Diceros bicornis minor: one gene and its partners. The protein of the gene in region 2 interacts with the protein of the main gene of each other region in a pairwise test. Links are inferred from orthologs where the notes say so. Each region holds a gene or a part of one and is shown on either strand. Other genes may lie near its edges. The genes, in order: SH2D4A, NUTM1, RIC8A and ZNF277.

Region 1 (6,935 bases), on a different chromosome or scaffold from region 2:
CTGCCAGTGCCAAAGCTCATTCCTCCCCTCACCCCACCCAGAGTACTCTCGATACAAGAGTGACGTGACTGTGCTGCCACTACCCTAGCACTTGACGTGCAGTCACTCATTTAACCTTCACAATAATCCTTCAAGTTCAGTCCCCATCACCCCATTTTACAGATGAAGATGACGGCAAGTGGCAGAGCTGGGCAGTCTGGCTCTAAGTTGGCTCTAGTGTACTCCACCAGGACAGTGGAGTTTCTTTGTGAGCCCAGAATCAGAACACCATCAGGATGAGGTACCATATGTGAAATTTCGGAATGAAAACCAGCAAATTCTTGCAGCGACAGACATGCTGAACCGACGGAGAGCCTCCCAGGGGTAGAAGCCTCATCCCGGGGATTGCAGATAAGCTTAGGGGAGGCCAAAATTGAAAAGGCCCCACCTCAGGAAGGACAGCAGGGAACTTACTGTCCTGCTGGCCCAGGTGTGGACGCTGTCTGCCCACTGGATTCACTGGGCACTCATCTCCCCAGCTGCCCCTCACACACGACCCCCCGGGACAGCACCAACGGCCCAGCCTCTCACAATGGGAAGAGCTCCACAGCCCCTGTGAGGAGATGCTCAAGCTCCTCCACGGGTTTAATTCTGTTTTGTTTTGCCCTTTGTGGCAAACACGGATTTTCAGCGTCAAAGTTAACTAGAGGATCTTAAAAGACACTGGCTTTCCTGTGTCCTCAGAGATTACTTGGGGACCCAGCTAACAACCATCTTGTGGTCAGGATGCTGAATAATACGCATGCCACTCTAAGGCTGCTGATTCCCACTGGTGTGAATGAACTCTTTCCTCCGTATGCTTTCAGACAGAAACTCAAACACAGCCCAGGGCACTCCCAGGACAGCCAGCAGGGACCCCAGCCTGGGCTCCTAGTTCTGTCTCTCATGAGCTGTGTAACTTCACGCTGTCACTTCTCTGGACTCAGTTTCCTCATCTGTGAAGGAGGGCCTGAACTGTGAATCTTTGTAATTTGAGGACTATACCATAAAATCCAACCAGAAGTTACAAAGACAAGTGGAGCCAGCATCAAGGAAATGGACATAAGGAAATTAACTAAGCAGGATTCTTCCCACTTTCACTCCAGGCAGGACAATCATTGCTGATTCAAACTCAATGACTTGGCCCTGTGTAACATATTGAGTGCAGCAAACTTCCAGTTTTTCAAGATCCAGTAAAAAAAGAGAAGCTTGGCTAACTTGGTTTTCTTCTTGTACAGCACTTTTCTTAAAAGAGAGAAATGACAAGCAACAAGCCTACATCTGCTGGTTATTCCAAAAATAAATCTCTAAAGGATCATAGGATCAGTTGTTTTCCAAGATACCTATAGATTTGGCCTGACTCTCACAATTTCCACTGCCCTGTTCTATGAAAGAATAATTGTGTTTTTAATGACTCTGAGACCTAAAAAAAAAAGCCTGAAATACAGCCTAAATCATTAAAATACTGTAATACGGACAGTATAACTTTAATGTTAAGAATATAGTTTGAATTCTAATTCTTTTAAAACAGCCCAGCTCCGTTTTCAGACTTTGTTACCTTATTCGACTTTACCTTATTAATCTCTCTGCAAAGGGGCTATTTTTGAGGATAAAAAGGAATTACTAGAGGTGACACCACACTTGGTAAGTTTTGTAAATGTACACCATTCCTCAAAAATTGGAAATTACTGTACCCACAGATTTATCCAGAAAATTCTAGTCATGCCAACTCTGCCCACATATGCTTTCCACTTATTCACTTTAAAAAAATAATTGTATCCAAGTCGTTATTGCCAGTAAACAGGCAATCAAATAAGTCTTTTAGGAGGTGAGGAGACTCTAAGTTTAGAAAGAGAGAGGCGCCACGCTGGCTTCTTCCCTCGGACCCTCGGGGAGGGAAGGACGACCCCGAGAAAACCTGCGAGGGGGACTCGTCCCTGCGCCTCCGCGCCCACCGCCTTCGGCGCCCCTGGGCTGAGGGCCGAGCCCGGCGCGCCCTGACTCCAGCGGCGCCCGCCCGCCGCAGGCCCTGCCCCGGCGCCCCCGGACCGGCGCCCCCGGACCGGCGCGGGGACTCGCCTGCACGGTCGCGGCGAGGAGCTCCCCGGCGCTCCGCGGGACGGCGGGCCGCGCTCCTCCCGGCGCCGGAACTCCGGCCCAGACCCTCCCGCGGCCGCCCCGCGCCCCCGGCGCCCCGCGTGGCGCGCGGCACACCCCCTCCGGGACGCGGCGCGCCTCCCAGGGCCCCGCGCCCGCCCCCGCCGCCCCCGCCCCGCGAGCTCAGCCCCGGCCCTCGGCGCCGCCTCTCCCCCGCGCCGGCTCCGGACACCCGACACCCGACGCCGGCCGCCCGCCCGCCCAGCCCCACACCTGAGCCCGCGGCCGGAGGGGCCGTGGGGGGTGCGTGCCGGCCGCGCCCGGGCTTCCCGCCCCGCGCCTCTCCCCCCAGAACACCCCCCACACGCGGGCTGCCCCGCCTCCGCCGTCCGGCCTCCCGTCCCCGCCCGGCACCTACCTGTGCGCGGCGCCGGCCCGCCTAGCAGGGCGCCGAGCCCCGCACGTCCGGCTGGGCCGCCGGGAGCGGCCGGGGAGGGGAAGGCAGAGGCGCCCGCGGGCGGCCCAGGCCGGCTGCACAAACACTCGGCCGGGCTGTGGGCAAACGCGTCCCCAGCCCCCGCCCGCCCGCGCCGCCCCACCGCGCCCACGTGCCGGGGACTGACTGGGTCGCGGCCCCGCCCGCGCCGGAGGCGCTCCCGGGCCCGTCGCCCGCCAGGCCGCAGACGCGGTGCTCCGGACGGCAAGGCCACCGGCCCCAGTTGCATCTGTGACGGCCTGTCGCGCCATCTCGGGTCCTGCGTCACTTATCAACATCGGCGGCCGGCCCCTTCCCGCTCCGAAGCCGGGGTTTCGAGCGAGGTGGAGCCTGCGGCGGCGGGCAGGTCTCAGTTACACCGAGTCCCGCAGGTCAAGTCGGCTCAGCTCTCAGGTTGTGCTCCTGCGTCTCTGGAGCTTACTTTTTTTTTTCTTTTGTTGACATTAAGTCAACTCAAACTCGGGGGCACTTGTCAGTACAGGTGTGGCTTTGTAGGACAGGATCAAGGAGGAGAAAGGCTGGAATGATGGAGACTGAAAACAAGAGACAGGGAGAGAAAAATGAAAGAAGTCTGGAAAAAGGCAAGAAGGTAAAGGAATCTTGTGAATTGTAGCAGGAACAGGTCGAGGGGTGCATGAAGGGAGGAGCTGACTGAAGACAGGAAAAGGAAATCCTGGAGGGAAGTCCAGCAGTAGCGGAGTAGACAGGTTGCAGGGCGTTTTCCATTGAGGGGGAACATTCAGAATGTGTAGAGAAAAACGGCCTGCTTTAGTGAACCACAGACTGGTGTTGGGGAGAGGAGTAATAAACAGTGAGCGTTCATTGTCCTTCTCTACAGCCTCCCTGATAAATTCAGGAGCTGACTTGCTCTGTTGGGAAATGAAACTTTCTCATTCCTAGCCTCTCCAGACTGCAGAAGAAACTCAAAGTTAGAAAGAGCCTTGGAGCAGAGATCAGTCCTTGAGAGACCTAACTATTTGGGAACCACCCTAGAGATCCTATCAGGGGAGGATTTCTGGCTTAGCTTTGGTTCCCACTGCTTTTTAAATAAATGGCATGTGGGGTGCTTTTGGCTGGAGTGTCGTTCGCCCCTGGTTAGCTGCTGTGGCCAGCTCAAAATGAATCCTAAAACTTGATGGATTGAACAGTTGAAGAACTATAAAGGGTCCTTCATCAGCCAGTAAAAATTCCACAGGACACTGGTAACAGCCACTTACCTTCCTCCACACTCAACCTATCTCTATGTCCTAACAAGTCCTTCTTTATAACAGCGATCCCACTTTGCTACTAAGCTCTCTATCCTTCAGTTTCCCCCTCTGGATAACAGCAGTGCCTACCTGATTAAGTTGTTCTGGGGGTTAAGTGAGATAATACATGTAAAGTGCTTAGAACAGCTCCTGGATGTGGTAAGTGTTCAAACACATTACCTCATAATATTTCACAAAACATACTGTAGTTTCAAGTTACCACCTCACACCCAGGCTATGAATTTTGCCTCCTGTGGTACCTGGACTCCCAAGTTAGCCTCAATGATCCCCATCTCCTACTATGTCACTTCTGAGATTAGGTTATAAAGGATCTTGTAGCTTGTCTTAGGTGTGTATCTCCCTCTCTTGGATCATTCCCTCTGAGGGAAGCCAACGGCTCTGTCATGAGCAACCCTATGGAGAGGCCCCGAGGACAGAACTGAGCACTCCTGCCAACAGCCACAGAATGAACTTGGAAGTGGACCCTCCAGCCCCACTCAGGGGTGCAGCGTTGGTCTACAGCATCATTGCAAATTCATGAGGCCACCTGGCTGAGCCACTCTCAAATTCCTGACCCACAACTGGAAGTGAGTAAATTTGTGTTATATTAAGCCACTGTTTGGGGAAATTTGTTACACAGTTGTAGATAACTGATATACCTCCACACTGGTCTTGTTTCTAAGCCAGTTTTAGCTAGCTTTCATATGCAGGAAATTTCATGTATTGGATAGCTTATTTAAACATGGATCCGGGGTCTCACCTCAGAGCAAAGCAGTAGAATATCTTCCTTTTGAACAAGCACTCCAAATGATTGGATCCAAGAGGGGTTATAGATTGTGCTTTCAGCAACTCTGCTCCAGGCTCTCCAGGTCAGACGTTTCTGAATGCAGTTGTCAAATTCATCTTTTTAAACGTTAACTCTGATCCTTCATTTACTTGCTAAAAGATCTTTGATGCTCACCCCTCCTTTTTGTCCAAGGTAAGACTAAACCTCTTGCCAACTTTCAAGGACCAGGACAATCTAACACTAATCTCCCTCAGCTTTATCATCTTCCTAATACAATCCTCTGTTCAGATAATCTGGCATTTTCCAGGCCCTAAACCTACACAGGCTCTGGGGCTCCACACTGGCCTCTGTCTAAAATGTCTTGACCCACAACTTGGCTTATGAAAATCCCACCTAGTCTTCAAGCATCAGTCTTTAGGAACCTTTTCCTGCCTATCCTCCCCCCAGCTGGAAACAGTCCTGGCCTCTTCCATGTTCAGAGCACTTGTATCACAGGTTAGCACTTAACACATCCAAGAACCATCTAATGAACACCCGCTAGGTGCCAGGCTGTGTGGTGACAGAGGGGGGCGGGGGGGGCGGGTGACAAAGAGCAGACAGCCAGGGCCCCTGCTGCCGTCTTCTATGCAGCACTGCCTTGTATAGTAGCTGTGTGTATATTTTCTGCCTCTTTGCGATTGTAAACGTCTTGACAGCAAGACTAGTCATGTGCGGAGCACGTTAGCTGAATGGATGTTAACAGCCCAAATGAACACAGCCTGTACCCAAGTAGTGCAATCATTCCCTCAGCTTGGGGCCCAGTATCTCTTCCCTTTTCTCTCCTTGTCTCCTGTCCGTCGTCTTGTCGTGTGCCTCTTTCCTGGATATGTAAATCTCTCTCTCCTCCTCCTCCTCTTTCTGTGGTTCTTTCTCCATCCTCTTCACTTTGTCTCTCCTCTCCTCTTCCACCTTTCTTTTTTGTTCCCTCTCTCCTGTCTCCCAGTATTTCCTCTTTCAGTTGGCATAATCTGGGGAAGAAAAAGTATATATTTTTCCTTAATTTCAAAAGTAGACAATTAGAACGTTTTATATTGCTCTAAAAAACACCAGTTGCCTCCGTTACTTACTTATGAGGCCCTCAATTACTTTCCCTCCTTTTGGGCCAGTGCTTTCAGAAGAAAGCATTTCTCCACTCCATGATCCAGGATGCATTGTGGAGAAGATTGCTGCTTTCATATGCTAGCAACACTCCAAATGGAAGGTCAGGTCTGGGCAACCAGGCCTTGGCAGGGGACGGGAGCTGGGCATCTACCGCTGGCAAGTCAGAGACATGTACAATAGGTGTCACCAGAACATGTGTTCAGGGCTGCCCTGATGCCCATCCAGGGCCAGTGTTCCAAGAGAAAAGCTAACTAGCTATTTACTATTAATATCTAACAGTAATAATAGTAAATTAGTAAATTAACTAATTTTTTAAATTTGTCGTTTATTTGTAGTAATGGACACCACAAAACAAATAGACTACATTTTAAGGGACATGTTCGCTGATATTCCTTTTAGAATGTTGCTTAAGAACGGTGCTGCCCAGGGCTGTCATGTGCAGCCATGGCACTGCACAACTGGAGGTGCACCAGGCAGAGATCACAGAGTGTAAGGCACCCCCGGGAGCTATGTACACAGCAGCTGATTGCTACCAGAAAGTCTAACAAGCCACTTTTCACTTTTCATAAGTAAAGGTCAATTTGTGTTTAAATTCTCCAGAAAATGAAAGTTACCTTCAGACTTTTTCTTTATAAAAGAAAATAGGATAAACACCAATAATATTTTTCCTGTCATATTTTATAGTCAGCATCAGAAACCCCAACCACTTTTTTAATTCTTAAAGAAGTTCTACGTTTGTTCCATAGTGAATGAAGTAGATGTGAAAGAAAAGGACTAAAACATTTCAGCTTTACTAAAAATTGATCAAATCTCAAAATAAATTTCTGTCAAGTTATTAATCATAGAAAAATGTATTGAAGATCTATTACGTTTTGGTTTTCTGCCAACAGTTAGATTTGATTTTGAACTATTTTCATGCCTTTATGACTCTATGTGGGCTTTCATTTTTTCATCTTCATAAATATCAAGATAAATTATTGGTCTTTACATGAATCTTTGAATTAATTAGACTATAATTTTTGATGTTTTCCCCTGAATTACCTTTATGGAATTGTTTCCTCAAAATCCGTGCTCTGGGTTGCTGATAAGACATTCCTCCTTTCCTGTGTTTCTGTAATGCAGCGGGAAGCAGCCTGTGGCCCAAAGGAAC
Region 2 (7,464 bases):
AAAGGAGACCAGAAGTCAGATCATCAGAGTTCCACTTTAGTCCCTGAAGAATCAGAGTTCCGATTCTCAACAGGTGAGGGAGGAGATATGGAGAGAGAACTTGTATAGTTTGCAATGTCCCCCAAGTGATCTTGATGTCCCTTACTCCCAGTTAAGAATTATTGCACTAGAGAAGCTGCAATAATTCTTGGACCTATGAGCTCATGCCCCATAACTCATTGCACCCAGCATACAGGTACACCTTTATTCCCATCCATTCCCAACACATTCAAACCACCTGAACCCTACTCCCAGCTGCTCTGTGGTCCCTGCCACCACTCACAGAAGTGTTGTTCCCAGAAGAGGATGTGTGGATTAGATGTTTGGTTCCCAGCACTTCTGTTATATAACAGCCAGGAATGACTGGAGATAAGGGTCAGGAAATGAGCAAGGGCAGGGTGGTGTGGGGAGGGAGGTTTCCAGAGCTTCAAGTAGCTGCTGGACATGTTAAAATTTGGCAATGCAGACTATCTGTGATCCTTCTGCTTGAAGTTCCTAACATCAGAAATTTAGGGCCCACTATGAACAAGGCACTGATAAGGAAGTCCAAAACACAGTACTTGCTGAGGAGGAGCTAAGCGGACTCCAGTCAAAGAGACGAAAGATAAATACACAAAACGTGTACTTAATTAATCAGGACATGTGTCTCCTAGGACTTTTAACAATAACAATAGAAGATCATCTGTCTAATTTCATGCTACTCTCCTCCCCTCTTATAAAGAATATCCCACTGGCAAACTAACAACACTCAGTTTCCGTTTCCAGACCATGAAGGAGACACGGAATATGAGCAAACTCGTCATCTCAACCACAGAGCAGAGGGCCAGGAGTACTCCACCAAGTACGGAACACAAAGAAATGGGTTTGAATGCCTGAGCTCCACAAAAGGTAGAAAAGCTGAGAGCATCTCAGGGAAGCCCCAGCTCTTGTACTGGCTGGAGTGACCCACCTCCCCTGGCCCTGGCGGAGGAATCAAGGAAAACTGCTCCCTGAACTGAGAGAGAAGCCATCTCTGGGGCTGGAAGGAGCCATGAGGCTCTGAGCAGAGGCGCTTATAGTACCTTCCAGTCTAGCTTTCGGGAGGACATTTCTCTACAGACTTGGCAACAGATAACCCCACTGAACAGTTTTCCAGCTAAGGCCTCCACCCCCCACCCCCTCAGTAAGATCCAGAATGGCCCCAGCTCAATTCTCTCAGGGCAAAATTCTAGAGCACCCTCCGGTTGCCTAAAGAAGACACAGGAACTCGAGGCTTCCCCTTGAACCTTCTCTGGGCCCCACACATACTCCTGCCCCTGCCACACAAGCATATGTTAAAAGGGTCCCTCTTCCAGAGAAGCAAGTTGTTAACTGCCATTCCTTCTCTATCATCAGCACTTTCCTCTGAGGTGCTTTGATCTGTCTCCCAGGAGGCCTTCTTCCTTCCCCAACCCCCAGTCTTAATGGCACAACCTCCTTCCCCAGCCTCCCCCAGTGAGAGGCCTTTGGTGAGGTCTCTAGTGATCTCGCATCCCTCTAGATCAGCCCAAAGAGCCTGTCCCCAAGTAAAGCATCAAATTTTAATCCTGAAGGATGTGAGCAGGTGGCAGGGACCCTCCCGCCCACCTGCAGACTTACTTCCATCTGAAGCCATCCTCTCAGGTTTGGGCGCTAACCGTGGCTGTCTGGAAGCCTCCAGAATGAGACAGTCAGGTTCAGGACCCAGAGAGTAATCTGGCTCCAGTAGAGGCACAGGGATCCAAGGAAGGGAGGGTAAAGATCAGATTAAAACAGAACTAGAATCTAGGACTCAAGGCATTCTGCAGTGGGGGAGGGGACAGCAGAATATGGGGTGGGGGGAGGGAGATACTCCACAAAGGGTTCTAGTAAGCAGTAACAAGGAATTCCCTCCAAACCAGAGTATGGCAACACAATTGTTGTGTACCTCTTTAGGGATATTTGTATATTCGTTCTCAGATTCCCAACATTATAGTTTTACATCTCAGTACCCTATACAACTCTTCACCAATATATCTAGTTCTGTGCCCTTCAATCCCATCCAGTTCTGTACCTGATTTCCCATTAATAGCAGGTTGTGGCAGACCCTTGACTTAATTCAATGTTGGCTATATTTTCTGAACCAAATTCAGAGCACATAGTCTGGTGTACTTAAGGATCAAGGGAATAGAATGTCTGAAATTAGGGTTGTCTCATAAGACCCAGGGTGTTCAATTGCTGTATGCATATCATTTCCTTGGAAAGCTGTCCTGCAGTGCCCCAACAGTCCACTTCCATCAGCTCTGCAGTCCACAGAAGGCTCAGCCTTACCCCTGGCTGAAAAGCCCCACTCTATCAAAAACTGCCATTCAGCCTAAAATTTCAAGACCAAAAAGTCCTTCCTTTTGTTTGTTAAATTATTTTGTTTTAAAATTTTGTTAAATAATTTTAATTTTTTAAATGGGTAATACATCAGCATGGTTCAAAAGTCAAACTATGCAAAATGGAATATACAGCAAGTCTCCCTCCCACTCCTTTCCTCTGGGACGGAGTTCTTTATCCCAGAGGAAACCAATATTATGTTTCTTGTGAATCCTTGCAGAGATATTTTATGCAACTACAAGTGAATACAAACTATATTCTTTAAAAAAAATAAAGTCTTTCAGTTTTTCTGGTTATAAAATTAATACATGCTCCAATGTTTTTGCTATTATACATAATACTGCAACGATCATCTTTGTAATGATATCTGGGCTCCAATTTTCGTTTTTCAAACTAGAGTCCTATAAGGAGAATTTCTACGTTCTTTTAAAAATTGGAAATACCCTTCGGAGGTACATCTTATTATGCTATTATTAGCTACTCACCACCATAAGAGCGCTGAATTTGTGGTAAAGAGACCTGAGTTTGAATCTTGGTTCGACCTCTAAAACATACTTCACCAGTTTCATAAAATAACTTCACGCTCTCCTCGCTGTACAGAATATTGAATACCCATCATGCACTCTTTACCGCCAATACTTTGAAATAGGGCGCGGGGATCGGATGTAAAAGAGAGGAGGGAAGAAAACCTTCTTCTTTCTTCCCTAAGGTAAAGGGGCTCTGGATCCTGGAGCTATTGTTTCTCCAGACACTAGAAACACACTGCCCCTGAAATGGGTGTGCATCTTGAAATAAAGACAGGATTCTATTCATCAATGTTCAACTCATATCCATCCTTACCCCCCTCTAACGCCTAGCAGCCTAGCAGTGTCGGGCACACAGGGGGCACACTCCACGCGTCTCTGAACGCCTGCAAGGTTGCAACTGGGCGCCAACGCCAGCAAAGTTGCAACTGGGTTGCAACTGGGCCAACTCTTGCACTAGGGCTCCCCCTTTTGGCCAGCTGGAGAAAGGCCTAAGTGGACTACATTTCCCGGCATGCCTAGAAAGAGACTTCCGGCTATGCAGGAAGGAAATTGACAAACACGTGAGGCGGTCTGTTGGACGGAGCTGCGCACGGAGTTGGAAGTTCTGGCTGTAGTCTGATCATGTTCCTCCAGTATTATCTCAACGAGCAGGGAGACCGGGTCTATACGCTTAAGGTGAGTAGAGGAAACAGGTTGTGAATGGGTATGGCGAGAAATGTAGGTGGGAGCAGCGGTTGAGACCAGGCACCGAGTTGCCTCCCTGGGTGAGGCGAACTAGAAAACCCAGAAGCCAGGCGTGGTAGAAGCGGGAGTGTATGACCCCTTCGTCTGTCCGTCACGTCTTCTGTCCTGTTTACCTTTTTTTGCGCGGCCCCCTCCCCATCCCAGCCTCCATCTCCCTTTAGACGCCGGTGCTTGAGTTTTCCCATCACTCCTGTACTGATGTTCTCTGTTTCTTGAGCAGAAGCTTGACCCTGTGGGACAACAGACCTGCTCGGCCCATCCTGCTCGGTTCTCCCCAGACGACAAATACTCTCGACACCGAATCACCATCAAGAAACGCTTCAAGGTGCTCATGACCCAGCAACCGCGCCCTGTCCTCTGAGAGTCCCTTAAATTTCGTGTGTCTTCTGCCGCCTGCTACCCCTCAAGAGACTTTCCGAAACCACGCTCTTCAATCTGTGAGCCTTGAGGCCTTCTGACCACCCTTGCTCTGTGGAATCCGGTCTCATCATTGCTTTTGATCATGCTTGTGTGAGGCAATCATGGTAGCATCTCCCTTAAAGGGAACAAGTTTGAATCTTCTTTTCATGTTTTCAGTCACTGCCAAGTTATTAAAATGATTTGAAGGAGCTCTTGTTTTGTATGTTGTGGGAAGAAAGAAGTGGTTTAAAAACAAAGACAAAAACGAAGGAGCTGAGAGGGAAGAGTACTCCCAAAGGTACAGCAAGTTCACTTGGAAGAAAAACTTGAGTCGCTGCTGCAGCAGGAGTCCTGCTGTGCTGTTAGTGATAGGAGGGTGTTGAGGAAGGGGAAGAAAGGTTGAGAAAGACGCGTCCACAACTGTCAGCATTCTCTGAAAAATACCCCTGTTGTCACTTAAATAATTTCTTGCCCCTTGAAATGACATTGACTCAAAATGGAAGAGTTGCTTGAAAAATAATAGCTATTTTGTAGAGGGAAGGCAGTGAATTGGAAGTCAGGAGACCAGGATTCTCCCCTCTTTGTATAACTTTGAGAAAGTCACTTAACCTGTTCAGTCTCATTTTTCTCATCATTTCTAAGTTCTCTTCCAACTCTAAAATTGATAGGGTTCAGTGGTGGATCTTAATATATCTACAGTGTTTGTGCAGCCGTTGTGAATAGCAATGCCTTTATGCATATTCACTTCCCCTCTGGAAATAATCCCAGGTTTTTTGTTCTCTCCATCAAGGAATTGTCTTTTTACATACACCTAACTTTATATTCTCTCTGGCAGCTAGCTGCTATTTGGAACTCTTCATGGATCTTAATTTAGAAGATGAAATATGAGAGATTTTGTTGTTTGTCAAGGTAGTGTGGGGGTTAATTAAAAATTTCTTATTTCTTAGTCTATTCACTTACATGGTTCTTAGTATTGGATCTGAGGGATTTTAAAGAGTTACTTTATCCTATTAAGGGGATAATCTTTGAAGAAAGGTTAAAAATTCTGCAAATGACTAGAAAAAGGATCTGCTAAGGAAGATTTCTTAAGCACCAAAGTCAGTAAATGAATTCTGCTACCAATTTTTTTAATGGTGACTGTAATTCTGTCTTTATAAGTTACCACCCCGCCAAAAAAAAAAAGAAAAAGGATTAGCATTGTTCCATGCTACCTGCTGTGTAGACTGAAATGAAAAGATTTGACCTGGAAATATTCCTAATCAAAGTAGAGGAGAAAAGGCAAACTGGTTTCAATATACCGAGGACTTTTTCTTTAAGAGACCCCCTAGGTATTAACATCTCTGAGATGTGCTCAGAAACAGTTAAGAGGTATAATATATTGGTATTAGGTAGTATATATAAATGAATGAAAATACACTGTTATGAAACAAAATTGGATATTGTAAAAAATTCAGCGTTTCTTTATAAAGGGAAAGTCTGTGAGATTTGAATGAATAGCAGGCCTGCCTGAGGAAAAAACTGATCCCTCAGGGAGGTGAATTTCTTGCTTTCTCAGGTAGGAAACCTGTCAAGAATCAAGCTTTGAGGAGGTTTACATTTTAAATGGGAATTTATTTCTCATTTTGTTACCTGGATCTTTTTAACCAGATTTTGGACTTTGTGTGTCATTTGATAAAAGGGAATATCCTGGCTCAGGTCTTAAATACTGTTTGATCTATTGCTAAGGATGATGCTGAAACATTTCCACTTGGGATGGGCAAGGACCTAGGCAAAGCTAGGACCCAGATTGTTAAATTTAAATGTCTTGACCAGGGCCGGCCCCGTGGTGTACTGGTTAAGTGTGCGCGCTCAGCTGCTGGTGGCCCAGGTTCAGATCCTGGGTGCTCACCAACGCACCGCTTGTCAAGCCATGCTGTGGGGGTGTCCCATATCAAGTGGAGGAAGATGGGCACAGATGTTAGCCCAGGGCCAGTCTTCCTCAGCAAAAAGAGGAGGATTGACATGGATGTTAGCTCAGGGCTGCTCTTCCTCATACACACACGAAAAATAATAAAATAAAATAAATGCCTTGACCAAAGCTATGGGAAATAACCTCCTAACAAAACATTGATGACTCAAAATGTATTGAACACCTTTACTCATGCATTAAATACACATGCTGAGAAAAATATTCTGATGGCAATAGTCAACAGAAAGTATCTCAATATCTTTTCCAGGTCTAATATGAAAAACATTTTCTTTAATGGAACTTAAAGTCTGACTAGAAAGTGAACATAACATTTTTTTCCAGCTATGTTGACAAAATTGTATATATTTAAGGTGTACAACTTGATTTGATAGATGTATATACTGTGAAAGACAGCATTTTTTTAAAGGACAAGAAAAAGAAATGTAGCACAAAGTGTGTATAAATTTGAGGACACAATGCTTTAGAATACACCTCAACATAAAAATTCCAGTGAGAGTCATACCTAGATATATGGCATTGGGAAGTTTGTGATTTTTAAAGAAATTTTGAATGGTATTTTCAGAGACTCTTATTAAAGAGAGAGATGGTTTTTGGGATTCTGAGGGCAAAGTGTGTCGCCTGCTTTCTGAGATGCCGCCAGAGTGAGTTTGCAACACAGCAGAACCAAGAAGGAAAAGGATGAGTTTTCTCCAGCGCACGCAGCTCAGGAACCGGCCCCCCCCCCCCCCCCCAATTCCGTTCGTGCTCCGGGCCTGCCGCGTTCAGCCCCGCCCCTCGCCCACCAGTCCCGCCGCGACCCGGGCGAGCGCATGCGCGCAGCCCTCTCCGTCGCCTCGCGGGCTGCAGAGGCTGGGCGGGGCTTCCTAGCGTTTGCGGGACGGTGCCGCCCTCAGACCGCTCCCCTACGCTTCTCTTGGGACCGTTACCCTCGAATGAGGGACGAGCGGGGAGGGAAGGGTGGGGCTGCGGCTGCGCGGGCACAGCCCTTCGGGCCCGGGGAGGGGGCGACGAGGTCACATAACGGCTGCTGTGGCGTCTGGCAGGGGAGGGGGCGCCCTCCCCGGCAGCCCGAGCCCGCCTGCGCGCGCTGCGGCTCGGAAGCAGTTACCGGCTCGTAAACAACAGCTGCGCGCGCACCCGCATCAGCTGGCGCCGGGATCCCGCACCTGCGACCTCCTCCTCTCCTCTCCGCCGCCGCCTCTTGCTCAGCCAGAGCCAGCCTGCGACGCCGTCTCCTCTTCTGCTGGGACCCAGAGGAAGAAGGGCGAGGGGCTGACCTGCGGCGGGGCTCTGGTAGGGGAGAAAGCATCTCCCGGCAGAGGGTGGCCGGTCTTGTCACACGCAGGAGAAACCCAGAGAGCCGGACTAGCAGCGACCTGCCACAACCCTGAGCTGCAGTCCGAGCTCTCTCGACCCGCTAGCCGCCTC
Region 3 (6,880 bases), on a different chromosome or scaffold from region 2:
CAGAGCCCTGGACGGCCAATATCCTATGGTGCAGTCGCAGGAATCAGGAAGCCTCTGGCTCGAGGTCCCTGTGGGTCCCCTCAGGGACGTCTAGGGACAACCAATGCTCGTCACCAAGGGCTGCCCGTGCACAGAAACACTAAGAGTCTAAGATCACAGGCAGGGACTGGGGGCTTCTCAACACCATGCCAGAGAGATCCATAAAGAAATCTAAAAAGCAGACTCTGAAAACTTGTTTCCTTGTAGTAACCAGAAGCGAAACCTTCAAGTGTGTGTGTAGGAGTGTCCACATGCTTCTCAGGGAGGACGGGTCTGGCTTCCTGCCTGGCTGGACCACAGAGCAGCTGGAGGATCACCTGAATCATACTGGCGAGCTAATCTTCACTCACTAACGTGGACGGCACAAAAGCAGTGACCACAGCTGCTCAGGAAGGCCAAAGCCAGAGCCATTGGGGAGCCCACACAGCAAGTCCCCTCTGCCTACCTGATGCAGACGCTTCTCCAGGAAGCTAAGGAGGACACGAATCACATCCATGTTCACTCCCAGGAATTCCAGGGAGCCTTCGTGTGGCTCCAGGGTGAGGAGGACGTCCAGACACTTGAGGGGCAAGTTCCCCAGGAGGTTCACCGTGTGGCTGAGGACAGACGGGGAGAGGGGCTTGGTGAATCCAATCCCCCAGCACAGGCACAACCCTTGGTACCTCCTGCTGGGGCTGCATGTGACGTGAACCAGTGTCCAGGGGCCTAAGGAGCAGCACAAGGGGCCCGAGCTGAGGAGAGGACTGCTCTCAGGGGGCACTCCTGCTCAGTGGAGTGGGTCCCCGAGGAGGGGGGCACTCTTATGCAAACACCTCACCTATGACCCTCTGTCTGGGTTGAAGCACCACAGACCACCTCTGGAAAACCAAAACCTGCCTCCAGGGACAGGTCACCGAGAACAGGAATGAGGAACCTACACTGCCCTGTAGATACTACACCATCCACTGCCCCTGCCTAAGGTCCTGGGGCACACTCCTGTTCCCAGACTCGTGGCTCTCGTCCTAGCCATGTACTCTAAGTGCCAGAGCTCTCTGGAAACCCACTGATGTCTAGTCCCACCCAGATGGGTAAAGACTCGCTAGGGTGGAGCCTTGTCCACAACCATGGCTGGCAACCACCATCTAGACACGTGAGCACACTTCCCTCCCAACACAACAGGCCCCACCCTCACCCGTGGAACTCCTCTGTACGGTCTCCAGCAGCAGTGATCATCACACAGTGCCGCAAAAGGGTTCCCAGGTGCTGGTAAAGGGCAGCATCTTCCTGACCAAAGAGTAAGAGGTTCCTGTGAGAGAGAGCCCCACTTGTCCCCCTGCTGCCAGCTGAGATTCCACCGTCTGCCCCACTCCAGGACCAAGTGCACCGATTACACATCTCCCCCACTGCACACCCGGCCCCTCCGCCTCTCCTACACAACCTGAAAAGCACTCTCCTGATTAAGAACGTCAACAGATGTCCTTGGGATTGAGTCACACTCTGTGTTCTGACCCCATGCTCACAGCCTCGTGATTGGGAATCTCCTACACTGTCCCCATGTATCACACAGCTCTCCTGCCAGGCTCCAAAAGCCAAATGTGCTCTCCACCTCCCTCAGAAACCTTCCTTGGGGCCCCTACCCAGGCGTCTCCTCGCCTCCTCCAGTCTTCTCTGAGCCTAACACCCTGAAACTTGAAGGCACCCAACAGGGAAGCAGATCCAGGAAACATTCAAGCTGTTAAGCCCCACCCACGGGTTCAGATCAGCTCTCTTCTTACCTGGTCCACCTCTCTCTTTATGGAGTCGAAAGTGATGTTGAAGAGCACTTTGAGAATTTCCATGGCCCGCTCAGTCTCCTGGGGAGGAAGGAGCGCAGGGGGGCTCTCTTCCGGGCTCATTCCCAGGGTCAGCTCCAGCGCATCTGTCAGCAGGTGCACTCCCCGCAGCTCCTGAAACAGCTGCAGGCGCACGTCGGTGCGAAGCGCAGTTAGCAAGAAAAGAAGGCGCAAATCAAAGAACTGGACGTCGTGAGGAAAGCTGCTCTTGCGGTACAGCCCTACGCGCTCTGCGAGTCTCACCACCAGGCGAGCCTCTGCTGCCAGCACCTGTGCCACCGGGCTGCTGAGCACGAGGTTGCACAGGCACTTGAGGGACTCGAGGACAACGTCCATGTCCAGGGGCTCGGGGACCGAGCCCCCGGAGGCGGAGATCCCAGCATAGCAGGCAAATGCCTGCAAGCTCTGGCGGCTGGTAAATGGGTCCAGGCAGCTGCGGTCCCTGGACAGGATGCGGATGCTCTGCAGCCAGGTGACGCGGCGGGACGGTGGCAAGCCCTGCTCCAGGACCGAGGCCAACAGCTCCGCCAGTCTCTGTGGGCGGGGAGTAGAGCGGCTCCACCAGGCTCCCCGACCCGGGGCCCCCGTCTCTGCCCCTTACCCCTCGGTCAGCACCCACCTTCCTGTCCTCCTGCTGGGCGTCATCGAATGTGAAGCTCTGGGAGTTCTGCAGGGAAACCCAGGGGCTCATGGAGCGCAGGTCCGCACGGGCAGATCCCGGCCTCCGAGATGAGGCCCGAGGCTGCAGGCGCCGCTCCGAACAGATGGCGCCCCGCACACCTGCCCCCAGGTGCGCACGTGACTCCAACCAGCGACTCCTCGTAGGCTCGGCGCCCCTTCCTGCCGCTCCCTTCCACCCTCGGGCCCCGCCGCAGTCACCCACCCCTCCGCCGGCCGCGCCCACCCGGCCCACCGCCTCCTTGCGCGCCCCACGACTCCCGCTCACCTCCTGGTTGTACGCGAGCAGAGCCTCCATAACCACGTTCTCTTCCCCCGTTTGCACGGCATCGGCCACCGCCCGGGGCTCCATGGCGTCTCCAGTACTTGGCGCCCGGAAGGCGGGACGTGGCTCCGCAGCCCCGGGCCTGAGTCCGCCAGCCCCGCCCTGGCTCCGCGCGCGGGGGAGGCCGGGACGGGGCAGCGCGCGCCTTAAGGTGGCGCGCTTTAAGGTGGCGAGACTTGGAACAGCCTCCTAGAGCGTGAAGGCTTTGCCGCCCGGGCTTCAAGATCCGACTCGGTGATCGTCCGACCTCAGGTCCCGAGACGCCCCCGAACCGAAGAGTGACCCTCGGGAATTCTCGGGCAGGAATTCCTGGCGGAGACGACCTCAGCCCCACCCCCCGCCCCTCTTGATGAACAGGACGGACAGGATGTCGCGGGTACAGCCACGGTGGGAAGGGCTGCCAGCCCCCGCACCACTTGGTTTGTTAAACGGGCGTTTGGGCGCCTACTACACGCGAGGCGCCGTGATGCGGGCGAACAGGACCCGCGGACCCTGCCTTCGCGGACCTTATGTTCCCAAGGCGAGGACAAACAAGGACGATTTTAGGCAGGCGGTGCCGTGACTGGAAGAGGAGAGGCTGCTGGGCTGCAGAGAGGTCTGAGGTGCCGGACGAGAGGGGAGCCAGGAAGATCTGGGGACGGGCATTCAAGGCACGGGGGAACGGCCAGGTGGGAGAGAAACGGACCTCGTTGGGGCTGAGGAAGGCTTACGGTCAGGGTCAGGAGGAGAGCAGAGCTCCACAGTGCGCGGCGGCTCCTCGCTGCGCAACCCAGACACACGATCGGCCTGGACTCAGGCCTCTTTCTCGAAGAGCAGAGAAGACCAAAGTCGCCCTTCCAGTGGGTTGTCGGGAGAACTCAGTAATACAGCGGATGCCCCCGCAGTGGCGGGCGACTTGCCCTGCAACAGGCGCCGGTCGAGCGTCCACTCGGCCGGGCCCTGGGTCGGCGCCAGCGCACAAGCAGCAGCCCCACCCACTGTCCGGCTCCCCGTCCTCGTCGGGGGCGTCCCGGGCCCCGAGCACCACCTGGTCCGCCAGCAGTCACCGCGCCGCAGCCCGGCGGGCCGGGGGACCTCGGGGCCGGTCCCTCGGCGCGCCCAGCCCCGCCCGTCGCCCGGGAGAGGGCCCGCGAGCTCCTCCCACTTCGGGCCTGACGCCGTCCCGGAGGCGTGGCTGATAGAGGCGTCTGGACACCGGAGCTGGCGTTAAAAACGCTAACCCTAGGCGGTCCTAGTCAGGCGGAGGAACCAACATCAGGCCACTTCCGTCCCCACCCGGGCGCCCTGCGCCCCGCGGCCGGAGCCTCCGCCGGAAGTCGGCGGGCGCGCGGCGGAGGGGGCGGTGACCTCCGCCGGAAGTAGGCGGGGCCAAGGCGGAAGCGGCGACGCCGGAAGCTCGTTCCCGCGGCTGCGCCACGTCCGCCGCGGCAGGGGCCGGGTAGGCGACGGAGCCGGGGCCCGGAGCCGGCACGATGGCGGACTGGGCTCGCGGTGAGCGCGGGAGAGCAGAGCCGGATGGCGTCGGGGCCGGCCGTAATCGACGCCGCTGCCCGCAAGAGCTGCGTCCGCGCGGCCCAGCCCGCTGGGTGGTCTCGGCGGGGAGGCCCTGCGGGCGCTGGCGGCTGCGCTGTGGGCGGGTCGTGGGGTCCCTGCGTCGCGGGGCCCGGCTGCCCGGAGTTCGTACCCCTCTGTCCCTGTCAGATGGTTCTGCTGGCACCCCGGCCGGCCTCACGGTCGCGGAGGCCAGCCCCTAGGAGGGAGGCTGCGTGGTGGGAGGGCAGCCCCTTCGCCCTCTGGGAGCCCGTGTTCTCGTCTGCGATGTGGGATGCTGATGCCTGTCTCGCCGGGCTCTTGTGACCGTTGAGAAGTTAATGAACGTGAGGGGGTTGGTAGAACGCCAACACTCCTTCCTTTGGCGTCTGTATCCATCTGTGGTTCCTAGAGCTGCACCCCCATTAGATGGGTCACGTGGAGGCATCTGGCCCGGGGCAAGTTTGCACTCGGAACTGGGGGGACGCGGTTCTCACCCACCTGATGTGACAGTAATGCCGAACCGCCTGGCCGCTCCCTAGTCATGGGACCGGTCTTAGCAAGCACTGTGCTCGGTGTCATATAAGGCCCTGGGTGGGGTGCAGAGGTGAGCAGGCCCAGGCCCTGCCCTCGGGATCGACCTCAGCGCCCCCGTTTTTGGGTGTTGGGGAGCTGTGCTGAGTTGTCTCCTCCCTGGTTACCTGTCATCTCTTGAGGACCGAGTTCACAGGTCGTCCCTGCAGGGGTCTTCCTGCTGCCCCCCCACCAGTCTTTCCTTGGTCCATACCAGAGTTTACTGTTTTTCTCTGGGAACAGGTCTCTTGTACGCTGATAGTAATGTCTGTGGAGGGATGGTGCAGGTTCTGTCACAGAGTATCAGAAAGTGCCGGTTGGGCTGATCCTTTGAGGCTGTACATGTTGGGGATGCCTGTCCACCCTGGCCTGGATGTGTACACAGGACATGTGGTCACGTGATGGGTGCCCGCACACGCTGTTGTTGACACAGCCTGTCTCACGTGTGTGTGAAGTCCTTACACCGGATCCTGGGTTAGGGCTGGACTTGTTCATCAGACACAGGTGGGCCTAGTCCCGCCAGATTCCGACTCAGGTATATGGGATTGTAGTGAGAGAGTCCTGAGGCCACGAAGGGCTGACATCCAGGGGTCAAGGGCAGTGCTCATGGGTGGATGCACCCCTCAGCCTCTCTTTCTCCTTGCAGCTCAGAGCCCTGGCGCTGTGGAGGAGATTCTAGACCGGGAGAACAAGCGAATGGCCGACAGCCTGGCCTCCAAGGTCACCAGGCTCAAATCGGTCAGTGGTGGTCCTCCTGTTTCACCTCCACCTGGCACCTTGGAGCAGGGATCAGAGGGAGGGTAGAGGCTTGGAAGGGTTTCATGTAGTTCTCATCTTCCTTGTCCCATCCGTGGCAGCACTCTCTTGTGTGAGGCCTAGGTGATACCTGGACCTCCTGATCTCTGCTGGTGGTACTGTGTCTGGCAGAATCGTTGGTTGGGTCTGCTGGTCTCATGGAGGGTCAAGCACCATCCAGTGTCTTCCCTGGCCTGACCCTGCCCCCTCTGTGTCCTGATCAGCTTGCCCTGGACATCGATAGGGATGCAGAGGACCAGAACCGGTACCTGGATGGCATGGTAAGGGTCTGCAGCGTGCGTGAGTGTTTCGGTCAGCTCTGCCCCACACTGCCTGCTATATAGGTCCCCAGTGTCTCCTGCAGCACTCTCCTGTGGGTCTTGGAGGGTCCACCCCTGTGTGATCGTGTTGGGATTCCTCCCTCAGGACTCGGATTTTACAAGCATGACGGGCCTGCTCACGGGGAGTGTGAAGCGCTTTTCCACAATGGCGCGATCTGGGCGAGACAACCGGAAGCTTCTGTGCGGTATGGCCTTGGGACTCATCGTGGTCTTCTTCATCCTCTCCTACCTTCTGTCGAGGGCAAGGACGTGAACCAGTGGGAGCTGGCGTCTGTGGGTGCACAGGGCAACCAGCATCTTCCTCTACCTGGTGTCCTGGGCTCCAGAGGACCTTCCTACAAAATACTCCTTTGGAACGATGATCGTGGCTTAGGAATCTTCTTCCTGTGTGGCTGGGAGCCCATGGCTGCTTCTGGCCCAGTGAGATCATGTTGGCTGTCCCATGTTGCTGGTCCCATGCAGACATGGGACCCTTTCCTTTGGGGAAACCAAGGCCCAGCACCCTCTGCCACTCCAGGTGCTAGAGGTGCCAACAGAGCCAGGTCTGAGCAAAGGAGCTAGGAATCCTGGACGTGGCTACCTGTGGTCAGTCCTTCCCCCAGCCCTAGGGGCTCTGATGTCTCCAGGCACCTCTGCCCCATCCTTGTCTAGGTAAGGCCACGTCTGGTGTCTGAGGTGCCTGGAGCTGATAGAGAAGGGGTGTTTCTGTGAAGCTCCAGGCAGCACTGTCTGTTCCAACCGACAGTCTCAGCCTAGAGATGGTGGTTATTCCTGGCCAGGGGTCCTGA
Region 4 (7,681 bases), on a different chromosome or scaffold from region 2:
TAGCATTACCAAGATCATCATCTACTAGGCATGCATTTGCAAGGAAAAAAGTTGACTCTGTCAGAATATTATAGCATGGAGGCACAGGTTAACTCTGTCAGAAGAAATCACCTCAGTCACAAAAATTTCCTACCAGTATTGCCAAATAATAAACTATAGATGTGCTATCTTACTGCCTTCTAATGAAAAACAGCAAAAGAAAAAATACCAATAACACATCCTCAAGTGTAAGAAATGTTGAGTCTATTTACTACTTGTTCTTAATTTTAGGGGACAACATGAAATCCTAGTTAGTGCTCAAATGTACAGAAAGCAGTGTTGTGCAAGATCAGGAACTTTCCTGGAGAGGGATGGCACCTCAGGAAATCTGTAAACACGGGTCCCAGAGAAGGTGCTGTACCTGCCTGCATACCACCCAGTGACTCGCTCTAGCAGAGATCTTACGAAACTGCAAGCATTTCCATAACAAGACTCCCTAGCCCCTTCTGTCCCAGGATATTAAACACACAGATTGCCACTTTAATTAGAGCTAGAGGGAAACCTCTTAAAACAGGCAGTTTTCAAGAAATTAAGGATTTTACAGGGAAAGACATACTTGATAACCTAAGTGACTGCTTAACAAAAAATATGAGTATACTTTTAATACTGTCTTCACGCAAAATTTGTATCACTTTGCAGGCTTTGAAAAAAATCGGATAAAGTTTCAGAATGGTACACAGGTTATTAAGGGGACTTTTAATGATAACTTTACCTTATAAGAATGACATAAACATCAACCAGTAACCTCTTCCAAAAATGCTACAAATTAGTGAGAATACTGGGCAGGTCTGAGCCAGGGTGAGGAATGTTTTTATGTTACAGATACTGCAAATTCACTGCTGCTCAGTACTTTTGATGAAAACAAATTAGAACCTACAATTAAGCTTTCTATCAGTTACTCAATTCAATTCAATAATCATTTAAACATTGGACCTGGATTAATAATTTCCTCACAGTTGGTGAAGATATGGGGAAAAGGACACTCATATGATACCAGTGGGAATGTATACTGATACCTTTCAAGGAGAAAATCTGACATCTGTTAAAGTTTTAAACATATGTAACCTTTGGCCCAGCAATTCCTCAAGAAATACACACCCAGTGGTCAAGGATTTGTATACAAAGCTGTTCACTACAACATAACTGAAAAACTAAAGCCACACTATATGGTCATTAATAGGGGAATGGCTAAAGTATGGCACGTTCATATTATGGAATACAGTGGGTGCAGTCCTTAAAAGCAAGGAAGCAACAAATGTATTGACATGGAAGAGTGTCTACAACACATCACTGGGAGAAAAAAGGTCGCAGATCTTTGAGCATACATAGAATAAACCCTTTTTGTTTTCTTTTTAAGAAATCAAAACCATACAGATGTGTGTCATACAGGAATGTCAGAAAGAGCACCCACCAAACCCTTACCACTTGTTACTTGCGGAGTAGGACTGTGTGGTGAAGGAATTTTCATTTTTTTTACCTTACACACCTCTGACCAGTTTGAAATGTTTATAATGAAAACTTTTATAATTTTAAAATAACTAAAGATTTTTAAATGTTTTACAATGTTTTTGAAAGGCATACCCAATTTTCTTTTTTATGAGTTAATGTGTGAGATAAATTCACCAAAGATTCCATCTCTAGATTTTTAAACTCAGCCCTCTGGAACTCTGAGAATCTGGAAAACCTTAATACTGTAGTCTGTTACCATCACCTAAGAGCTGACTATACGGCCAACCCAATAATGAACTGTCTAGAGTGTGGGTATAACTCAAGATTTAACTCAGGAGCCTACCAAAGATTTCTTTGGTAGAGGTATTGAAATAATTTCAGGGCTAGGGCATTCCATTGACGGGAAGTGGGAAGAAATTACACTTCATCTCTGTGCTGCTGAGATGAAAATTTAAGACTAAATGTCCATTTAACCAAGAAAGCGGAAACAAAGAAACCAAAAAACCAAACAAAAACCCTCAAGAAGGACTAAGAACCAAATTTAAGCCCATCAGAAAAAGACAACTTGCCGTGCTAAATGACATATCAAAGCAAAAAAAAAAAAGAAGGCGGGGGATAGACTAAAGGTAAGAGAATGGGGCTAGGAATCCTAAAGACAACCTTCCTGCAGCTTTCAAAGTTTGGTTTTTGATCTCTACAGTGGATCAGAGGACAACTCGAAAGTCAAGTAGAGCCAAAGTAACTGTGATGATTTTCATAACCCCCTTCAAATTTTTCTCTGAAGCCACAAGTGCAAAACACTTCCTTTCCTCTTGCCATAAGGCCCCGGCCTGAGAAGACTTCCCAGGCTCCACGTTCAATCCTGGAGAACGCCCGGGGCAGTCAACAAGCGACAGAGGAGGCTGTGAGAGGCACGCGCACACTTGCCCTTCAGAGGCCGCTCTCGCCAGCAACTGAACAAATCTGTAGAGTGCAGAGCAGTGACCAGTCTGCAACTGGAAATCCGCCCGAACCCAAATAAAACATATCTCCCGAGGCCAAACCAAGCAAACCGAGGCGAGGAAGGGCATTTCGAGGAAAAAGAGCTGCTAATCCCAGAGTTATAATCACACGTGCACGAACCTGACTTGACCCACACCCACTCGAGAGCAAGCGCGAAGCTGAGAGCTCCAAACGGAACACAAAGGCCCAAGGAACTTCCCTGGCTGCGGGGAAGGTCATTCCAACCCATATTCTCTTCTTTTCCCTGACAGCCCCCCCCAAGTAGCCGCCTCCGACCTCACCCCGTCCCAGTGGTCCCCGCCTGCGGCCCCCTTTCGCCCAGCTGGAAGGCTCTCGGGGTCCGCCCAGCGGTCAGCTGCAGTTCTCGTCCTAGAGAAAGGAAGACAAACCACCTGCACCTCAGGGGCACCGTACTCACCCTCATAACTGACATCCCCGGCTCCGCTACGGCTGCCATCACTGTCCTCCTCCCCTCGGGTAGCAGCCCCCTGGGTCTCGGCAGCAGCCATTACGCGGGCGAAAAGACAAGGGAGGGACGCGGGGCGGGGCGGGTGCGGTCCGGAACCAATGGAAACGCGACTGGAGGAGAACTCCCCATCAACGCAGCGGTTCCTCCACGCCCACGTCGCGCCGTCACGCTTTGGGCCAATAGGACGTGGCGAGAGGAACCTAATCCCCGCCCCCAACAGCTACTGCCACGCCCCCTTCCTGGATGGAGAGGCCCAGAACTACAATTCCCAGCGTGCCGCGGGGGCGCTGGGCAGGGAGGGCTGGAGGAGGCGCTGGCGGGCGGGGGAGCGCCCGAGAGTGCCCCGGCGCGTTCGCTTAGTTCAGTGAATCAGAACAATGACTGCGCCGCCGGGTCCCCGGGAGCGCGTCGGAGGACTGTGAGCAGCTGCCGCCTGGAAAGCGGCGGGCGGCGCAGCCTTGGCCGCGCAGTGTCAACGCCGGGCTCGGGAGCCTCCAGTGCAGACCCTGCCCAGAGTGCGCAGCCCGCGCGGAGCCGCCGGGCTCCAGCGCTGCAGCCGCTCCTCGGGAGTGTGCATTGTTGTGAGCCGGAGAAGGGGCGCGGGGATTACAAAGCCCGGAGACCCGGGAGCCCGCTTTAGCCATGTGGATACCTACGGAGCACGAGAAATACGGCGTGGGTAAGTCTTCGCGGGGCGAACTTTTATTCCGCTCTGGCCGGAGCGGGTGCGCATTTCGCGTCCTTGCCCCCGCGTCCCTCTCCCTCCGCCGGGCTGTAAATGCCTAATCCTGGCATCGCGCTGCGGGTTCGGGCTTTCCCGAGCCAGCTCCGAGCAGAGGGGCGCGCGCCGGGGTGTCGCCCCTCACGGCCGGATGGGCGCTCCCCGCACCGGCTCCAGGAGTGCCGGGACGTCTGGGGGAAGCGCGCCGCCAGCCCGCCCGCTCGGGGCTCTGCCTGCGGAGTTTGGAGCGGCGACGGGGCGTGTGTGTGTCAAGTTGGGAGAGGAGGGCGAACGGCGTTCTTCTGCTCCTTCGTCCTTCTTCTCCAAAGCGGCGGGGTGACGGCAATGGACTGCAACGATTTCCGAGGGTGGAGAGGGAGACAACAACAACCGCGCAGGGGGAACACCCCCAAAACAGAAGGGAGGCGCAAAACCTTTTCTCTGGCTCCCATCAACATTCCCGGAGTGCGGAATGTGGCACAGCCCTCAAAAGAGCCGCTCTGACAGACGGAGCCCGGCCCGAGCCTCCCTTCTCCCTCCGATCCCGGGTTTATGGGGTGTGTGTGTTGAGGGACCGGGGATGGGGGGGCGGTTGGTAAATTTCAACATCTGCGCCGCTTTGCTCTTTGGAGGGGAACGGGTATTTCAGCAATGTTTTTACTTCTGGCCACCTTCTCTGCCCAGGGTGAGCGTGGTGGGGGTGGCGGTGGCGGACGGCTGTGGAGTGGTAATGGGGAGGGGGATTGGAAAGCCTGGGTCTTCGAGGCAAGGAGACAGTTTTTAGGAAAGGACTACCCTGATACTGGCGTTCGGAGGAAAAGGCACAGGGTAGCGCTCGCTGTTCTGTGCAAAGGTGAACAACAAAGGACATTAATGTTGACTGATGAATACAGGAGTCTCCCTTCCTTTTCCTCCTCCCATTTCAGGCCGATTACAGTTCCCGTTTTTGTTGTTTGATTTCAGCTGGGTCGCCCCTTGACAGTTACTCCTTTTAGGGTTGTGTATTAAGAAGCCAGGCTCTCTGACAAGCCTGCAGCGGCCAAATGTAATTATAACCTCTCAGAAGGTTTAACAGAGAGAAAGCATTATGGATTTTACTAAGTCTTTATTTTCTGTAATGTCCTGTCCTCCCGATTTGCTGCTTTTTAAAAAAAATTGGGTACAGATCTAGTGATTTAGACGATATGTAGGTATCTGCTTATGTTCTAAATTCATTTCCCTGTAATTTAAAAAATGTAGAAAGCCTTTCCAGGGAGTCATAGTCAAGAGGATTTTTTTATTTTCCAACTTGTCCTAGGGATAGGACTTTGGAGTTCACTGAAAGGACTGTATGATTGATTAAACAAAGTCCTTTCCATATTTTACATTAGCTTCCATTCTAGATTGTGACTGGTTAGCAAGACAATAGTTTGTTCTGGACCCACCTTTGAGAAGGGTTTCCAGCCTTCCTTCTCTTCAAAGTGTAAGGGGAACCTTTGCTAGGCACTCTACTGGCAAGGAGTAGATGGTAGTGGTTGTTCTTTTCCTCTCCTCACTCTCCCCTTTTTGGGGGTAGATTAATCCTTGTTAGGTAAAGACATTGCCTTTGCCGAACCAGTGAGGAAGCAGAGGGTCCCCTTGTCACCGGATTTAACAATGCAGGAAGCCCAGACCCATCCAGGAACAGTGTCCCGCTTGGAGTCAATCCCAGATGTTGTTTTCTTCCAAGTGTTAAATTATACAGATTATGGAATGGGGTTTATTTTTTTGATTTCTTTATGTGCCAGGTCACAGTTGGGGTGCTAGTATCGATTAGTTCTTCTCTCGCCTTTCTTTACAAGCTGTGGGCAGAGGGTTAAAACCCACTCTGGGATTTCCTGGAATGGCAAACCGGATATTATCAGTCAAGTGTTTTGGGCTGCAGCAGACACCTCGCTTTTGGGTGGTTGTGATTTGGTTGCAGAGTAGAGGGAGGTGGAAGGGTGAGCACATGTTTGGAAAAAGGAGGTTGAGTGAGATGAAAGGGGGGAGCACAGAGGGGTGTGTTGTACTCATTTATACAATATCACGTACACAGGAATGTTAATCATCTTTTATTACTTTTTGAGCATTTGGCTTATGGAATGCTTAGCTGTTTTTTAGAATCCATCTGTTAGGTGTGTGTGTGTTGTGAAAATTATATGGACTTTATTTCTCACCATGGAGAGCACTATTTGTAGCTACCTATGCTGCAAGTTGTTATTTTTTTTTAACCTTGGTTAGTGTGTGTGCTTTTCTCATCGAGTTTTTGTAAATACTACAGAAAAGATACTTTATGGGCCCAAATGTTTGGCTGATATCAGATATAGTAGTAATTTGGTTTCCTCATTCTTTGAAATAAATCGGTCTTTGTAACTTTGGAATACCTGAAGTTTCAGTACAAATTGTATATTTCTACAATGATACTTCCTATCTACTATCAATTATGTATGAGATAATTATGTCTTTACATCTTTTTGTTTCAGTTTCAAGCCACATACTATAAACATGGGTAAAATTACTTAGATTTCATACCTATAGTAAGGTATATTAGAGATAGAAATTCCTTTTCAAACTTGATGTGTAGGCACTGTCTTCTTCATTTAATTGGTGAATGGTCTTAAACCGTTACATACTTAGTCGTATACCTAAGTGTTCTGATTCTAGGGAATTAGAAAGGTATACTGATAAAACTATAGTCCAGAGGGGTAGGGAACTTTGTCTCTTTAAAACATGTTAGTAGGCACAATAATAGGCATATTTTATCTTGGGAGATTCTGCCTAGCTCTTGATCCTAGTCTAGACACTGCTGCCAGCTGTGTGACCTTAGGTAAATCACTTAACCTTTCTGGGTCTCAGCCTCTGGATCAAATGATATCCAGGGTTCTGATTCTGTAGAGCTCTTCCAAACAAATGCATCCGTTGGTTAGAAAAACATCTTCACTTGTAGAGTTTATTATGAGAGGGACACTTTTGCTGTGACACATCCCACATAGCTCTTAAGCAAGATCAGAGGTAAGCAAAAGCTACCTGGCAAGCTGCCAGAACCGAGATGCTGGTTGCTTACTTTTTCGATCTGTTTGATTCTCTCTCCAGTAGGAACTCCATGGGCAGTGACTGCAGCATTGTTGATCGCCCCCTCACAGATGTCCTCACGATCTCTGTCTGCCTCCTGCTTGCCCTCATCTGTCATACTCCCTCCCCTCCCTTCAAGTGTCACAGAGAAAGTTAAGCCCATTGCGGATATGTTTCTGTGTTCCTTTGTTCGGTAGGCATTTATGCACAGTGTTCCCAGGTGAGCCGGTGAGTCTTCCTGAGTTGCAAGCTGCACCTCTCAACCTCGGCCAGATGTTTTACATGTGTGAGCCTGTTTAAGCTTAGAGAGAGAATATGGGCTGGATTGATCAGTGCAAAAAATCCATGAGCCTTACAAGAAACAAACCTCAGAACAAGCTGATCTGAAGGTCACGAGTGTCATTTAAAAATGAAGTCTTAGGGTATCACTGAGTCCTCACAAATATTCCTTTCCTCCATTTCTCTAGAAGTGGTTTTGGAACTCATCCAAGGAGGAATCCCATTCCTTTTTATTTATTTATTTTTTAAAGATTTTATTTATTTATTTATTTCCCCCCAAAGCCCCAGTAGATAGTTGTATGTCATAGCTGCACATCCTTCTAGTTGCTGTATGTGGGATGCGGCCTCAGCATGGCCGGAGAAGTGGTGCGTTGGTGCACGCTGGGGATCCCAACCCGGGCCACCAGCAGCGGAGTGCACACACTTGACCGCTAAGCCACAGGGCCGGCCCTATTTATTTATTTTTTTATTTTTTAAATTTTTTGTGAGGAAGATGGGCCCTGAGCTAACATCTGCCAATCCTCTTTTTGCTGAGGAAGACTGGCCCTGGGCTAACATCCACGCCCATCTTCCTCCACTTTATATGGAATGCTGCCACAGCATGGCTTGACAGGCGATGCTTCGGTGCGCGCCCAGGATCCGAACTGGCG

Evidence for each region.
Region 1: the proteins of NUTM1 (region 2) and SH2D4A interact in binary tests that used the Homo sapiens proteins (3 or more experiments, as listed by UniProt). The two-hybrid records come from large-scale screens. The link is inferred for Diceros bicornis minor from reciprocal best matches to the Homo sapiens genes NUTM1 and SH2D4A.
Region 3: the proteins of NUTM1 (region 2) and RIC8A interact in binary tests that used the Homo sapiens proteins (3 or more experiments, as listed by UniProt). The link is inferred for Diceros bicornis minor from reciprocal best matches to the Homo sapiens genes NUTM1 and RIC8A.
Region 4: the proteins of NUTM1 (region 2) and ZNF277 interact in a two-hybrid assay, tested with the Homo sapiens proteins (2 studies listed by BioGRID). The two-hybrid records come from large-scale screens. The link is inferred for Diceros bicornis minor from reciprocal best matches to the Homo sapiens genes NUTM1 and ZNF277.

What each region holds. Positions count from the first base shown.
Region 1 is NC_080768.1:40,644,881-40,651,815, forward strand, and holds the start of SH2D4A (SH2 domain-containing protein 4A), read right to left. Parts: upstream 3,019-6,935; 5' UTR 2,534-3,018; intron 1-2,533. UniProt on the Homo sapiens protein: Inhibits estrogen-induced cell proliferation by competing with PLCG for binding to ESR1, blocking the effect of estrogen on PLCG and repressing estrogen-induced proliferation. May play a role in T-cell development and function.
Region 2 is NC_080744.1:31,626,049-31,633,512, forward strand, and holds the start of NUTM1 (NUT family member 1), read right to left. Parts: upstream 3,014-7,464; coding exon 3,010-3,013; intron 1,753-3,009; coding exon 1,657-1,752; intron 1-1,656. Other genes in the region: NOP10 (H/ACA ribonucleoprotein complex subunit 3), read left to right, coding at 3,546-3,599, 3,889-4,029. UniProt on the Homo sapiens protein: Plays a role in the regulation of proliferation. Regulates TERT expression by modulating SP1 binding to TERT promoter binding sites.
Region 3 is NC_080770.1:18,590-25,469, reverse strand, and holds the start of RIC8A (synembryn-A), read right to left. Parts: upstream 3,012-6,880; 5' UTR 2,881-3,011; coding exon 2,797-2,880; intron 2,518-2,796; coding exon 2,470-2,517; intron 2,385-2,469; coding exon 1,794-2,384; intron 1,303-1,793; coding exon 1,211-1,302; intron 636-1,210; coding exon 485-635; intron 1-484. Other genes in the region: BET1L (BET1-like protein), read left to right, coding at 5,563-5,694, 5,976-6,032, 6,178-6,345.
Region 4 is NC_080742.1:63,837,216-63,844,896, reverse strand, and holds the start of ZNF277 (zinc finger protein 277), read right to left. Parts: upstream 3,013-7,681; 5' UTR 3,000-3,012; coding exon 2,909-2,999; intron 1-2,908. Other genes in the region: DOCK4 (dedicator of cytokinesis protein 4), read left to right, coding at 3,602-3,638. UniProt on the Homo sapiens protein: Probable transcription factor. Involved in modulation of cellular senescence; represses transcription of the tumor suppressor gene INK4A/ARF, perhaps acting via the Polycomb group (PcG) complex PRC1.